Linked DNA regions of Mytilus edulis. The main gene of each other region encodes a partner of the protein of the gene in region 2 in a complex. Links are inferred from orthologs where the notes say so. Each region holds a gene or a part of one and is shown on either strand. Other genes may lie near its edges.

Evidence for each region.
Region 1: WD40 repeat-containing protein SMU1 (region 2) and zinc finger matrin-type protein 2-like share a complex: the UniProt entries of both Homo sapiens proteins name them as parts of the spliceosome B complex. The link is inferred for Mytilus edulis from reciprocal best matches to the Homo sapiens genes SMU1 and ZMAT2.

Annotation. Positions count from the first base shown.
Region 1 is NC_092351.1:34,546,374-34,553,405, reverse strand, and holds the start of zinc finger matrin-type protein 2-like, read right to left. Parts: upstream 3,084-7,032; 5' UTR 2,954-3,083; coding exon 2,945-2,953; intron 1,098-2,944; coding exon 942-1,097; intron 54-941; coding exon 1-53. Other genes in the region: protein FAM114A2-like, read left to right, coding at 4,873-5,508, 6,270-6,354. UniProt on the Homo sapiens protein: Involved in pre-mRNA splicing as a component of the spliceosome.
Region 2 is NC_092354.1:21,760,537-21,768,515, reverse strand, and holds the start of WD40 repeat-containing protein SMU1, read left to right. Parts: upstream 1-4,914; 5' UTR 4,915-5,013; coding exon 5,014-5,039; intron 5,040-6,627; coding exon 6,628-6,838; intron 6,839-7,979. Other genes in the region: leucine-rich melanocyte differentiation-associated protein-like, read right to left, coding at 252-290. UniProt on the Homo sapiens protein: Involved in pre-mRNA splicing as a component of the spliceosome. Regulates alternative splicing of the HSPG2 pre-mRNA. Required for normal accumulation of IK.

The sequences.
Region 1 (7,032 bases), on a different chromosome or scaffold from region 2:
GGTGTTTGCTTTGTGATAACCTGAGATTTTCCTAATTTAGAATCGAGATCAACCTAAAACAAGAACAACAGATACAGTAATTAGAACAGCTATAAAAATTTAACATACGATCTTATACATGTATATGAAGACAAAGCGACACTTACTTGTCAGTTTGTAAATAGATGTGTGCTAAGTCACATCTTAGTAATTGTAAATGTTACAACCTATTCTACACAAATGTTTAAGTGCCAGTCTTTGTAATAATCAGGCAATTTAGACAATTTTCAAAACAAGACAGAAAAAAACCTTACCAACCTACCCATCCTATTATGAAGTTTCCCTTATCCTGAGTTCATGGAGTTATAAATGGTAGATTGTTTTGTTTCTGTGTGTCTATTATTTTGAGAAATCTCTAGATAACTTTTGGTAAAGAATGAAAGCAAATTATGGAGTTATCTCCCCTTAGTTGTTAATTTCCAGTGCATTTTAACCAAATTATATCTTGAATTACAGGAAACAAATGTAATATGCATGCACTGTTACCATGGTTATATATGTACGTTTTGATCTTAAATTAATGTCAAGTTGAGCCGGGTTTTTGTTTGTCACGTTTGACCACTGCCTCAGATTCTTAGGCAGAGTGGCTTGGCACTTAATAAAGATGCTGCTTAAATATTTATATAAATTAATCAGTTTTATTTAGCAGTCTATTTTGACTGACAAAAAAAAGACTGGTGTTTATATATTTGGTTTTATAAACCATTATCCCAGGGAATTTTACTCAAAGTCCCTCTTCAGTATCTGCTCTTTCTTCCACAACTGCATAGTAATGTCTTGTCATGGCTTAAAACTGTATATTCCCTTTTGACAGATTTACACAAAGATATTTAATCATAAGATTTTTTTTCTCTATTTCTGAATATATTAATTTCGATCAAATGTAACCTTGTTTAACATACTTTATATTCTCTAGGTTTTAATAGTTCTCTTTTGATAGGTGGCTCTTTTAACTCTTTTTCAAGAAGTTTCCTTTCTTCTTCTTCCAATCGAACTTTAGCAATTTTTTCATACTCATCCTTGTCCCACTTTCGTCTGTGATCACCGGGTGTTGGTTTCTGAAGAAAAAAATAAACATTTAAGTAATGATCTTTCATGTGGATATAAATTTACTTATTAATATAAAAGATGTAGATAATATGATAAAAATGTATATCATATCATATTCAAGGCTCAGATATATCATCACTTGAAGGTAGGGTTTGTATAATAAATTCTCTATAAATTAATGAATGTACATGAAGTTAAATTAAAGAACTCTGGAAAATTAATACATAGTCATTAGATCACAGGTAATTGTTTCCCTAAAAAACATGAAAACAGACTGTTTCTTCTCTAGAACAACAGGGAAATATCCCTCGCATTAAAGCAAATATATCTATAAACCTTTGAAAAACACATATATGGGAAAAATTAAACAAAGCTAACTCAATGTTTGCGGCAATAAGAAGAATATAAATTTAAATGCAAAGATCTTCATAAAACATAAGGGAAAACACACTTAGACTATGCTAGTTCAGTATAGGCTCCCTTCAAAAAGAAATTCTTTGGCAAAATTAAAAATGTACAAAAAAGGCCGACAGGCCAGATACCTGGATCCAACAAATTCAGTTATCCGGAAAGATTGAAGAAACTTAAGCTGCCAATATAGAATGTTCTGAGGGGACATAATTGAGACCTACAAGATACTTAACAGAAAATACAATCCAGAAACTAGTACATTTCTCAAACTAATTAAAAACACCCAAAATAGGCATAGCACAAGAGTTCATAGTGCAGGGATACAGGCGATCCCCTCTATCTGATAAATGATGTCATAATGGGGCGCATAATTGACGAGTTTTTTCCAGTGAAGGATAAACTCGAAAGTGGTCTATTTCCACAGGCACTTGTTTCTTTCAATTGGAAGACCCTCTATCCACGTATATTTACTTGGATAGAGGGTCTTCCAATGGATAGAAACAAGTGCCTGTGTCTATCAGTCAGAGCTCAGACATAAACAAGTCTATTTTTGTTTTTGACTTAAAGAAGTCAAAACATGTATTTATCATAAAAATGTGTTTTCAATTTTAGACTTATCTAAGCCATAAAATGACAGACTTGTTTAGGTCTATTTATGTTGATGAAAAAACTAATTTCACTTGGTGGCCAAACTACACAACCTATGACAGCAAAAACCTGTCTGAGTGTTCACAAGGACTTGAGCTATCTATATGTAATTGTCTTATTGAACATCCTTACTAAACACAGATGTTTTTCCTCATTAAGTGTAGTTCCAGGTGGTTGCATTGTAAGGTTAATTAACATTATCTCCGATTTTTTAGACTCTCATTCATATTTTTCCTTAGAAGACAAAGCATTGTCTTTGAATGTTGTCATTATTTGATTTAGATGCATGACCTCCTTATAAATTTGCGTGGGTCTTTAAGCTAACCAATTTTGATCACTTATCGACTTGTAGGAGTCGATATTTGCAACTTTTTGATTCTGTACAGTTATTTCTTGCTTAACAATATTTGACTTATTAAAGTCATATTTTGTCTTGCATTAAAGGGAGACTAATCCTAAAACTTACAAATCTAGACCTCTATGAGTCAAAAGCAGATTCAGACTTATTCATGTCTGAGCTCTGACTGTCTATTTCTGAAAGTTTTCCATCATCGAAATTCCAATTTTTAATAAACTGCTAGGTTTAATTGGTCATTCAGGTGGGATACGTGTCATGGGACATTGTGAAGTATAGTTCTATGCTTTGGAACATCACATTATCTAAGCAAAAGCACCAGTAGTAGGACCATGAATATAAAGAGAAAAGGGGGGGTTTATTGTGTCTTTACGATTTACAAAGAAGACACTTAAAAGGGAAAGAGCTGGATTCATTCTTAATTTGTCGTATTCTTGTAACCTCTGCCATTGTTCTTTAAAGTATCCTCAATAATATTAATTTATAAATTTGTAAACAATCAAATAGCCTTCGCTCTCGGGTTTCTTCTTATTGTCTATGGAAAACTCCGAAAACTCAAATCCATGCACTTCCATCTAAGTTTCTCATGCGTTTTAAAATGACAGTTAGCTCCTATTTATTTCAAGTTGCTCAATGACCCGAAAGCTTAAAAAAATGCAAAACAAATCGACGTGGCTGGAGTGACGAAATTTATTATAGTTCGATTTTCCATTTGCATACGTTTGACAAGCAGAGTTTTGGTAAGTTTTGCATGAAATGGACTATTTTTGTCTGAGAGGGAGAAGTGTTTGATTGTTGATAAACAATCCTTACACTTGGAAAAATGCCAAATTTTGAGGGGTTGATCTGTTGATTACAGATTTGCCATGCCATCATTTGCATGATTTTGATAATTTAGCAATTTAATCTACTTTTTCTTTTTTTAATTTCCTTTCTCTCATTAGATCATATTTTAATTATTAATGGTTGTACTTGAAATAGACAGTCCTGACTTTTGTATTGACTATTGTCACAAACAAAAATATATTATCCTCACCTTATGGGTTTTCCTTCTATTTACCCTCTTACTGCTGGTAGTATTTCATTTCATTTACAAGAAAATACGGCAGCTCAACATCTGTGACGTCACATGTACATGCTCAACAATGACTTCATTTGACATGTTTGATATATAACGTCATATAATAATTATAATTACACCTTATGTAAGAATCCGGGGTTTTGATTGGTTAATAGCCAGTGTATTTTTCACCAATTTACTGTTATCAAATGAATATTGTTCATTTTTTACGCCGCCGGCATATTTGCTAAAAGGATATGCCTTTTTTACCCTCTCTGCCGTGGTATTTGCCAAAAATACTCTATCCGACTGGACGCTTGTAACGTCACGATCATCAATGCGTTTTAGTACATTAACATTCGGTGTAATTAAACAGATATATCATGTTATTGAGGGGTATTTGCGAAAAATACCAGTCTTGAGAATGAATTTCCCTCGCCTTACGGCTCGTGAAATTTAACATTCTCTCGACTGGTATTTTTCGCAAATACCCCTCCTTAACATGATATATCTGTTCAATATACAGTCTACATAATAATTTTTACGTTGAACTGTCAAACTTTACCAATACTCAACACTACTGGTGGGCGCAAGAAAAAGATAACCGTTATATTTTGGAGCCATTGAAGAAAAAATAATGCACTGTTTAATCATCAGCCTTTTTCTTGAAAGAGATACAAAATGTACATCAATGTTCATGATGATGAGAAGTTTGCATAAATTTGAAAATGGTTATATGTGTCCCTCCAGCAGCGAGAGGGTTAAGAATGGACCGGGATTATGACGTCACAATTTCCATTGAAAAAGCGTTCATAGTACAAATTGCAAATGACTCATGAAAACAAATAATCTGACCATTTGTTTAACTGTTCCTAGCCCTGTACCACCAAGCTTTTTTGTCGATCTGGCCCCAAGTCTATTTGTGCCAAGTCGATCAATTTCAAGTTGTTCCATTCCTATTTGATCTGTCCAAAGTAGTTCCTTCCCAAGTTGATTCAAAAGAATATTTATAATGTATAAAAATAATTCATAAATCATGTAAATGTTCATTAGTTTTATAATAATATTAAAGATGAACGGTAAAAAAGTTGGCCTTTGACGAAGATTTGTACATGAATATTTAATTGTCATAGAATGAACTAATAAAAAATGCAATCCCTTACTACTTTAACACAGTCAAAAATACTAAATAATAATCACAAGAGGATCAGAAAAGTAAGTTAATATTTCTCATTTCCTTTAATTGACTTCTAACCTCTTCTAAGCTTCTAACTGTTCATTTATACTTTTTCATGCTTTTGTAGATAAAATGTCAGATTCAGAAGATGATGCTGCATTTGCCAGTGCTGATGAAGGAGAAGAAACAAAGCAAAGTCCACCAAAGGGAGATAAATCTACTAAGCCTGATACAGATAAAGCAACAAAGTCTGTAGGAAAGGGAGACAACCCGAAACAAGCTTCAAAAACTAATCCTAAAAGTGATAAAGAGGCTATTGACAAAACAAAAAATCCTGAAGTACCACAACAGAAAGGAGCAACTGGAAAAGGAAAGAAAAAGGGAAAACAGGCCAAAAAAAATAATAAGAGTACTGAAAAACATGAAGCGAAAGAAACAGAAAGTAAAAAGCCTGAGAGTGAAGTAATAGTAAAAGAGGAAGAGAAGACAGAAAGTAAAACATCTGACATAGAAAACCAGGAAGAGAAAAAAACAGATACCACACAAGTTGAAGAAAAGAAGGCACCAGAAAATGATAAAGAGCTGTCAACAGACAGTACAAATGTTTCTGAAAAAACAGAAAGCATTGTTAAGTCACCTTCTGGGCAGAACATACAGAGGGAAGGATCTGGAGAAGGATCAGAAAAGCCAGACATTAAATCTGTTCTGGATCAACTAGCAGATGATGACGATGATGAAGAAGAAGAAGAGGAAGAAGAAGATCAAAAGGTTATTGTTACTTAAACAGTATAAAAAAATGTCTCTTCTATCATCATAATCATCAAGCAATTATGTGCTCCTTACATCATGTGCATCGATGTTGTACATTGTACATGCATATTTAACATGTTTAAGAATCCTTGCACTAGCTCTTTGAAAAGTCAGTAAATACATGTACATCTGGTAGGTTAGCTGTTGCAAGGCAAAACAGCAGCCCCTTTTAAATCTTTTTTTGTTAACAATGCAGTCAGGTCCTTCATGATCATCTAGTGTTAACCCGCAGTTAATTATTGAATGCTGTTGACCATGGCCCTAAGGTAAGCAGAATTTTGCAGAAACTATGTATTTGGTTGAAATACTATTTGTACTCCTGAATATGCTTTAAATATTTGCCACTGGCTATTAATCATTTATTAATCAATCTTAACTTCTTAAGGACAAATCACCTCTTGTAACTGCATTCAACAGGCCTTAAGGAAACAGGTCAATGGATTTCTAATGAATTATTATAGACAAAATATGTTTGCTCCTTGTTTGGCCAAGAGGGTGGAAAGTACAAAAATGTATGCTTTAATTTATTTCAAAATACAATTAAAAAAAAATGTATATGATTCTTTCAATTTACAACACTGTTCATTCTTGTATGGACCTGTACCAAACTGAAACATTACGATATCATTATCATTACTTTTTAATACATACATGTACATTTACATAATTATATATATGTAAGTAAAGGCAGACATTCACTGTACTTTATTTTATTACAGTCTAGTAGTTGGAATATTGGAGGATGGGGTTCTAGTATCATGAATGTAGCACAGACATCAGTTTCAACATTTACAAATCAAGTTGGTTAGTATCATAGATAAATCGGTCTAATTGGTACAGACATGATAAAATGTATTTCAAAGAATCAGAGGATCACCTGTCAAACATCACTCTAATGCAACATTGTGTTTAACATTCATTTTGATTGGATAAGGTTGCTAATTTTCATGTCATTAAATCACAATATTAATTGATGCTATGAAAACGTACGCAAGCGCAGACGACATATTACAGATTTTAAATGTATGTTTTAACATTGTTTTCTATCAGTTTCATTAGAATGGAGATTACAATATTGTATTTTAAGCTTCGACGACATCAATTGGTGATTTTATGGTCATAAATACCTGTTTACTGGCTCCACTAACATATCTTTGCCTTGAGACATTAATAAAACATATTCATTTGTTATTTTTCAATCTTGAAAATTAAAAGTGTATTGCAAGCATTTGTAAATCTATGGGGAGATAACTCATTTAGTTACATATTTACTCCGGAAAAGTTTCACAATGTCAATATTGAGATCTATTGGACAAAAATACTTGTAGAAAGTTGTTTTCATATGTGTATTTTCACCTGTACATTATTAATTTGTTTAGTTTAATTTTGCAAGGCACCTAAAAAAACACTCGAGATTCAAATTCAAATTCAAATTCAAATATTTTATTTGAGATTCTTACAAAGAGTACTTGTATGAATATT
Region 2 (7,979 bases):
TACCTTTGAAATTCAGCTTAAACCTTTGTTCTTAAAACCTTGTGTACACAACAATGACATATTTCAAGTCAATAATAGCAATATAAAGAAATATCCAGAAAAATTGATGAACATACAAATGTATAAGGGAATTACAAACAAGCTTGTGTTGTCATCTTCTGTGTCATTTGGTCTCTGTTGGAGAGTTGTCACATTGGCAATCATACTCCTCTATTTTTTATATCTAGACTGCTAACCATCTAAAAACATACCTGGTATGCTAAACTGGTTCTTTTTTCTGACATCTTCATTTTATTCAATCCATATGTTCATTCATCACAAGGATCAGAAACATTTTCAATTTTCATCTGAAATAAATTAGGGTAAATGATTGTAGAATATAAAACCAGGGGTTAAAAAATTTTGTTACAGCTAACTAGCCCAGGACTTATTGGCAGCAGTATTTTACTAGCCCTGTTGGAAGAACTGCTAGTCCATCAAAACTGACCTGCTAGCCCTAGTATGCCTTTAAAATCAAGAGTTTGTGGCATAATACAAAGTGGGTGTCCGTTGTTTTGAAGGAGACATTATACACTGTATTTAATAATTTTTGTTGATCTGTTATTTATTCTTTTGGTGCTTAACCTAACTTAGTTGTTCCCACATTCAAAGCAGACTTTTTATTGGAGTGCTTGGGGCAACTAACGGCAATATTCACAGAGCATTGTCGGTTTTTTCATCAGCAACAGCCAACCTTGCCATGGGAATCATTGTGTCCCAGTTCTTCCAACCTTTCAGGAAGTGAATGCGTGATTTTGTGGCCAAATAGTTAAGATCAAAGAGAAAAAACAATAGATCAAAGGAAAATGCCACAAAATAAGCATGAACATGTGTGAGTCTCGCGCTAAAGACTTGACAGCCCTGCTGTCCTTGACACTATTATTTTTTTCCGCGGCTTTTCCCTATCGTATTTAGCATTTTTGGGGGATGAATTTTCAGCCTCGTTACTCCCTTCATCTACCGTTTTTCGTGTTGAAACTGACGAAGTTCCTGGGGTTCACGTACTAAAATATTAAGAAATATTTTGTTGCATGGTTTCGTGCTCAAGAGCTGTGCAACAAGACAGGTCAATACCAATCAATACATCATACCCCCAAATACCGTTAATTGAAAATCTCGGCACGATAAGGCAGCAACCATTTGATTTTCTGGGGGGGGGGGGCTATGTTTTTTTTTTGGAAAAAAAAGTTTGTTTCCAGGTTTTGGTGAAAAAAATAATTTGTTTTGGACCCTGAGTACAAAAAATTGTTTGTTTCACCCTCAGCTGCCACTATATGTAATGCTGAAATTGAAAGAAAAAAATAGATTGTTCTACGCCGAAGGCGAAAAAAAAAGTTTGCACAGAAAAAAAAACCATAGCCCCCCCCCCCCCCAGAAAATCAAATGGTTGCTGCCTAAGCAATGTACAATACCCCGAGCCATGATATGAGAAATCGATATTTAAAGTACGAGAATTGCAATCAACACATGATACCAGACCACCCAGACATGCCAGAGTTATTTCTTCCAGTTTTAAAATATGTACAACAGGACCTGTACAAACCAGCTCAAATTCTTGGAATCCTGGCTGACTTAATTGAATCGAAATGGCTAACATAAAATAGTGATGAAAGGATTTTTCACTTTCTATTTTGGAAACGTCAATATTTTTTGTTACTAGTCCGTCGGGCATATCGAATTACACATTTTAATTGCCTGAGGCGTAAATGATCTAGTCCCGGGCGTCGGGCTAGTGGAATTTTTAACCCCTGAAAACAGACATCATGGACATTGCTATTAGGGGGGAGGATAGGACCTTTTTAGTATAGGTGTTTTTAAGCTCGGGATTTTGGGATTGATCCTTTCGGGATCTGGGAATTCTTTTTTTCAAATTTTGGGATGTCAGGATGTCGGGATTTAAATTTCTTTAAATTCAGGACCTCAGGATTTCATGTTTTTAAGCCCGAGATTTCAGGATCAGGACCCCTTCGTACCCCGTCATATTATGAATTAAACATGATTCCGATTTTCCAGTTTTCAGTTTTAAATGCAGGATTTTGAGATGGCTATTTAAACTCTTCAGCATTTTTTATGATTTTACCAACATGACCAAAAACGCAAATTACAGGATATTAAAAACATGGTACATGTACATTGTAATAATCTGAATTTTTTTTGTTTGCATCTAGCTGTGACCTAATAGTGTAAGGATTTTTGAAAATTATAATCAATTCATAAGAATACTTGTATTAAAAGTCAAACTGTATGATTTTTTTTCTAAATTTTAATTGAAAATGAAACCGTGACCATTATTTGAAAATTTTTCAATTTTTCATTATAACATGTGTAATTTGTTTATAAATGATCTGAACATCATAGCTGCATAGCTATAATCATAATAATACTGCTGTTGATTTTTTCTTTTCTTTTTTTTGGGGGGGAGGGGTTAGGGGGGGGGGGGGTTGGTGGGAGGGCAGATATTTTGAAACATAAAATGCAGGATATACGTGAAAGTAAATGATTGTGCATACATATGCATAGCAATAGATCAAAACAATTTTTTATGCATTGATAGTTCTATTATATAATATCAGTCTTCACGCTTAACCCCAAGTCCTACGGCAGTGGGTATGAGAGCACAATTATTTCGTAGTGCATTTCTTTTAGAACATAAATGAAAATAAAAAAAATCCCATTTTACACTGTGTTGTACTACTTTTGGGACAAATTATATCAAAATTATAGAAAACTTCATCGGCTCTAACTCAAAATATGGACAATTTTATCTTTAGGGCGTCTTGAAATCTTTTGACAGCTTTCCTTTAAAATTCTGGGCCCAAATTTTTTTACAGTGTAATTTCACCCCCCTACTTGCAATTTGAGGCATTAAACATGGAGAAATAAATTTGGAAGGGGTATAAAAATTAATGGCAGGTAATCCACTGTCAACACTAGGGACTATTCATATTCGTGAACAACGAAAATCAAGGGACGACAATTGTGGTCTTGGACCTAATAGGATAGAAAGAGTTGACTAATCTTTAAAAAACTTGGTATGACCAAAGCATGCAAAGCTTAATAAATTATAACACTGCTTACAAAGTTTCATGACAATAGGATGTATATTATAGACAATAAGTTAAGTTCTATATTTATCTTTGCGTGTAAAATTTTGACGTTAAAATTGAATAATTTCAACTATCAACATTTGGGGCTTCAAAAATTAAAATATTGCAAAAAAATACTTTTTAAATGCCTTAATATATAACCTATCATGTACTTAAAGCAATAGAGTACTCATTTGATTTATCAGACTTGGCATAATTATTCAAAAGTCAAATTTATATGAGCCTGAGCCTAAAAATTGAGGTTTTTCAATGAAGGGGCCTTACATGAAGATGTAATATTTTCCAGCCATTTTAAATTTTTGAAGCTTTTTGGTTATAAATAATCCTTACATATGTATTGAAAGTACTTTAAATGGAAAGAAGAGTTACAAATAACATATCATATTAGTTTAAAAGGGTCTTAGGCCAAGTAAGACTGGAAAAAATTTAGGGTCAATTTAGGCTGTACCTCATATCTACATTAAAAAATGCATATGGAGGCTGTAAGAAATAAAAATTTGTGTCTTTTTTATCATTTCTATACTCATGTGACATGATACAACAAATCTGAGCACAAAAAGACTCTTGCAATTAACTTTTCTTACAAACTTCATCGTCTCTAACTCAAAATATGGACAATTTTATCTTTAGGGCGTCTTGAAAATCTTTTGACAGCTTCCGAAGTGCTATTTTTCAACCTTTTTCACCTGGACCAAATCACTACTTTCCTTTAATATTCTGGACGACAATTGTGGTCTCAGACCTAATGAGAGATTTTGTAAATTTTGCGCAGGAAAAATTGAAAATGAGATACATTTCTTGATTTAATGTCCGCAATATAACAAAATTAGATCTAAATATAAAATTAATGATACATGTATCATCAAAATAACTTGTTAAATATATCACAGGCATTGGCAAAGAAGTCATTACTAATTGTTTTGGTTATTTCAGATATTTTTATCAGAGCCGGCAAAATAGCTATATTATACTGCAATCAGCTATTTTACTATACAGATAAAGCTATACGTATAAACTTTAGCTTTATACGTCAATGACCTCAACTCACCTATAAGCCCCGCCTACTTACGACGTCACGTCACAACCATGACAACGTATAGTAACAATGGTCAAACTTTTATGAATTTAAACTTGTTATGTCTTCAAATTGGTAATTTCTATACCATGATTTATCAAATATTATTAATTAGAGTTAATTTTCCCTTTCTTTTTCCTTAAAATGTCAATTTTGTACCGCCTGGAATACGCTCAAAGGGAAATACCCCAAAATGGTACCCCAAGAGGGAAATTTTAAACATTTTTTTTAACAATATTTGTTTCATATTTTTATTATTTTTTAAATTTTTTATCGATTTCAGTTTAAAAACAATATACGTATAGTGTCTTGAAATATGAAAATTATTTGTATTCGGTAGAACCTCGCATTTCCCCCGTTTCTAAGCCTCATACACAAATAAATTTCATATTTCAAGACACTATACATATATTGTCTAACTATACAACATCATGAACATGTACAAATTACAAGTACAGCATTTATTATTGCTGTAATTCAAACCTCTATCAGAGACATATAATACATATATGTATATATGTCTCTGCCTCTATATATATCTAGCGCTATTTCTAAAGCTTCTAATTATCAAATACGTACTTAAGGTGTTAATTGTTGCGTAAACAATATTTGAATTGAATTACTGTGTCAATCAACTTAATTTCAATGATTGTCTTTCAAGTTGAGCTGTCTACCATTTTGAACAAATTTAATGTCACATGATTTACATTGTTTACATGTCGTACGTGCGTTTTAAACAACGGACGAAAGAATAGTCCTTTAATATTTCCACGAACACTGATCACATTAAGCATGGCTGTCGAAATCGAGCAAAGAGAGTAAGTGATTCTATTTGTTTGTGATTTCATCAATGCAATGTTGCATTTGACTATTTATATAACGCATAGGGACCAGTGTACATTGAATTTTAACATCGTACACTCTTTTGTTTCCATCTTGTAGTCATGTCATTAAGATAAACATTAACTACAGCTTCAGTTTTTAGATATTTCCCTATAAAAGTTCTACAATCCAGCTCATATAAATGAGCACCTGCAATGGTACACTCCAATCATGATGAATAATATGAGGCAGGCATTACCTGTGAATAAGGACGAAACTGTACGATTTTTTTTTTTTGTAACACATATTTGTTAAAAAAAAGAAACGGAAAAACAGTAACGTTTTCGATTTTGGTTCTGTTGTTAGGGATTTTACTTGTGACTTTATTTAAGTTATGACGTCATGTTCGATGTAAACAAAGAAACACAATGTATCAGGTAACGTTTTTACATTCATATCAAAGACAAATAATTATTAATTATTAAAAATGAAATATTGGTATTGTGTTCCTTGAGTTCCTATATTTTACTAGACTACTCAAAGTCTCAAGTGCTACAACGAGACCGGAAGGAGGCAGTAGATTTTTGCGTTATGCGCAAATTAAAAAAAAGCGACAAAAAAAAAATTTGAACGATTTTGAGTTCATAAGTACATTGAAAATTTCATGAAATTTTCCAGATTTTTAATTTTTTTTTTTTTTTATTGATTTTTCTTCTAAAATAAGCTCTATTTAGAGTCATCATAGTATACAAACAAGGACATACTATAGTGTGCTTTAACCTACATGTACATTTGACAGCTCATTGTTACTTTTGTACATGTCTTCTTCTTCCTGTAAGCGGCCACTGTCAACTGGTTGACTATTCTGCCACATTTTAGAGTGAGTGCATGCAATATTTTTGAAATTTAATAAACAAAAAGAATGGGTGCAATTTAAAAACATGTCATTTAAATCTTATGACGAAGCTGAGCCTTGAAAGATTCAGGACTTGGGGCGCAGACAGTAGATTTTGGCAATTTTTATTAGGTTAATAATAATAATAATGTGGCACTTTTTGCATTTTTTGTTTGGTTGTTCTTCTTCCTGGTACAGGAATTCGAATTTGAAAGACTCTGGTGTTGGAAGGTGGAATATCGCGGTTCTTAGTTACCCTACTGCAGATGCCTACTGGTCTCCAGGTTTGGACCTTAAATTTTGTATGTTTATCACAGACCAAAATTTATTGTATGGAAAACTTTCTGGCAGACTTTTGCTTCATGCATTTTTCTGTAAATTTCCTTAATAGTCACAATGCTCATAATGGACCTTGGAGGTCAAGTTGTCTAACTATAAGTAGCTACTACTGTAATCACTAGCCAGTCAACACTGAGGTTATTAGTTGGAACCCCGCGTCTACTGTTGCACTCAATTCCAATCTTAATTGTCAGTTTTCCTATCAAAGATCCGACCATGGTTTTCTCCAGGCACTCCAGCTCCATCCACAAATATAAAATGGCAGCCACGAAATAGCCCAAAAGCAGTGCTTAAAAGTGGCAAAGAAAATCAAATCACAATGCTTATGTTATTTTAAATTATTTTTTCAGTGTTGTTCGTCTGATTGAGCAGTATCTCAAGGAAAACAATTTACTACGGACACTTACAGTTCTACAAGAAGAGAGTGGGACATCATTGAATACTGTTGATTCTGTAGATGGGTTTGTCTCCGACATCAACAGTGGTCACTGGGACAGTGTGCTCCAAGCCATACAGACACTAAAACTCCCTGATCAGAAACTTATAGATTTATATGAACAGGTGAGGTCTAAGCTCAAAATAATGGTAGTAGGGCTAATGTGCTACAAGATACTTCCAACAAACTAATAAAATAACTTACAGCGGATTCCATGGAGTGTGTAGCCAAAGGTAATTTTTTTAGTTAGCTTGCTTGTTAGCTGAGCCGTGAAGTCATTGTTAGGTTAGGTAAACAAACTACCCTACTTTAGAAGAAATAGACTAGTCCGACAGAAACCAATCGATCTGTCTGTTGGACTATGCTACTTCGAAAGGAGGGTAGTATACACTGGTAGACCTATTTGGCAAATGACCGCGATTTTTGGCAAATCTCCGCGGAACGGATAATAAATAGAGGTTCATCGTAAATTTTTCGTTTTACAGTATATTTTGCGGTTCTCCGGAGATTTTCCGTGTCTCAGGGAATTATCCGCGTGTCTCAGGGAATTATCCGTGTGTCTCAGGGAATTATCCGTTTGTCCGATTAAACTGGTGTGTATTGAGTCAGTGATAGAACCAGTGATGCGTGAGCGACGGTTATTAATAGATCGTTGTATAATCCGTTATCTGTGAGCAACGGTTATTAATAGATCGTTGTGATTATATACACTGTTTACAGTCAGATAAAAATAACCGTCTTATTACCCTTTTCAGTCGAGAAATAAAAAGCGGTGGTTTTGATATTAAAGTTACTTGCAATTTAAATATCGAATTTAGTTTAATAAAGAATAATCTATTTAATTGTGACCAATGAACAGGAAAATGCACGTGGTAACTTTGCAATACTACTACAAATATGTTCACCTTACAAAATTCTTCTTTATTGTCATGTTAAGATAAATCAGTTCCTGTAAAAACAGTAAAAACAGAGTCTTAATTACTGCAGATGCCGTAATCCGACATAATGTCATACTGATTTGACACCTGTCTAGTGTGAGTAACACCTGCTGTGATATTTTTGCAATACAACATGGACAAGCGGAAGGTCGTAAATCAATCTGTTGATCCGAATTTAACTTTACCTGTACTGATAAAATTGAGAAAGGAAATGGTGAATATGTCAAAGCGACAACCACCCGACCATAGAGCAAACAACAGCCGAAGGCAACCAATGGGTCTTCAATGTAGCGAGAATTCCCCCACCCGTAGGTGTCCTTCAGCTGGC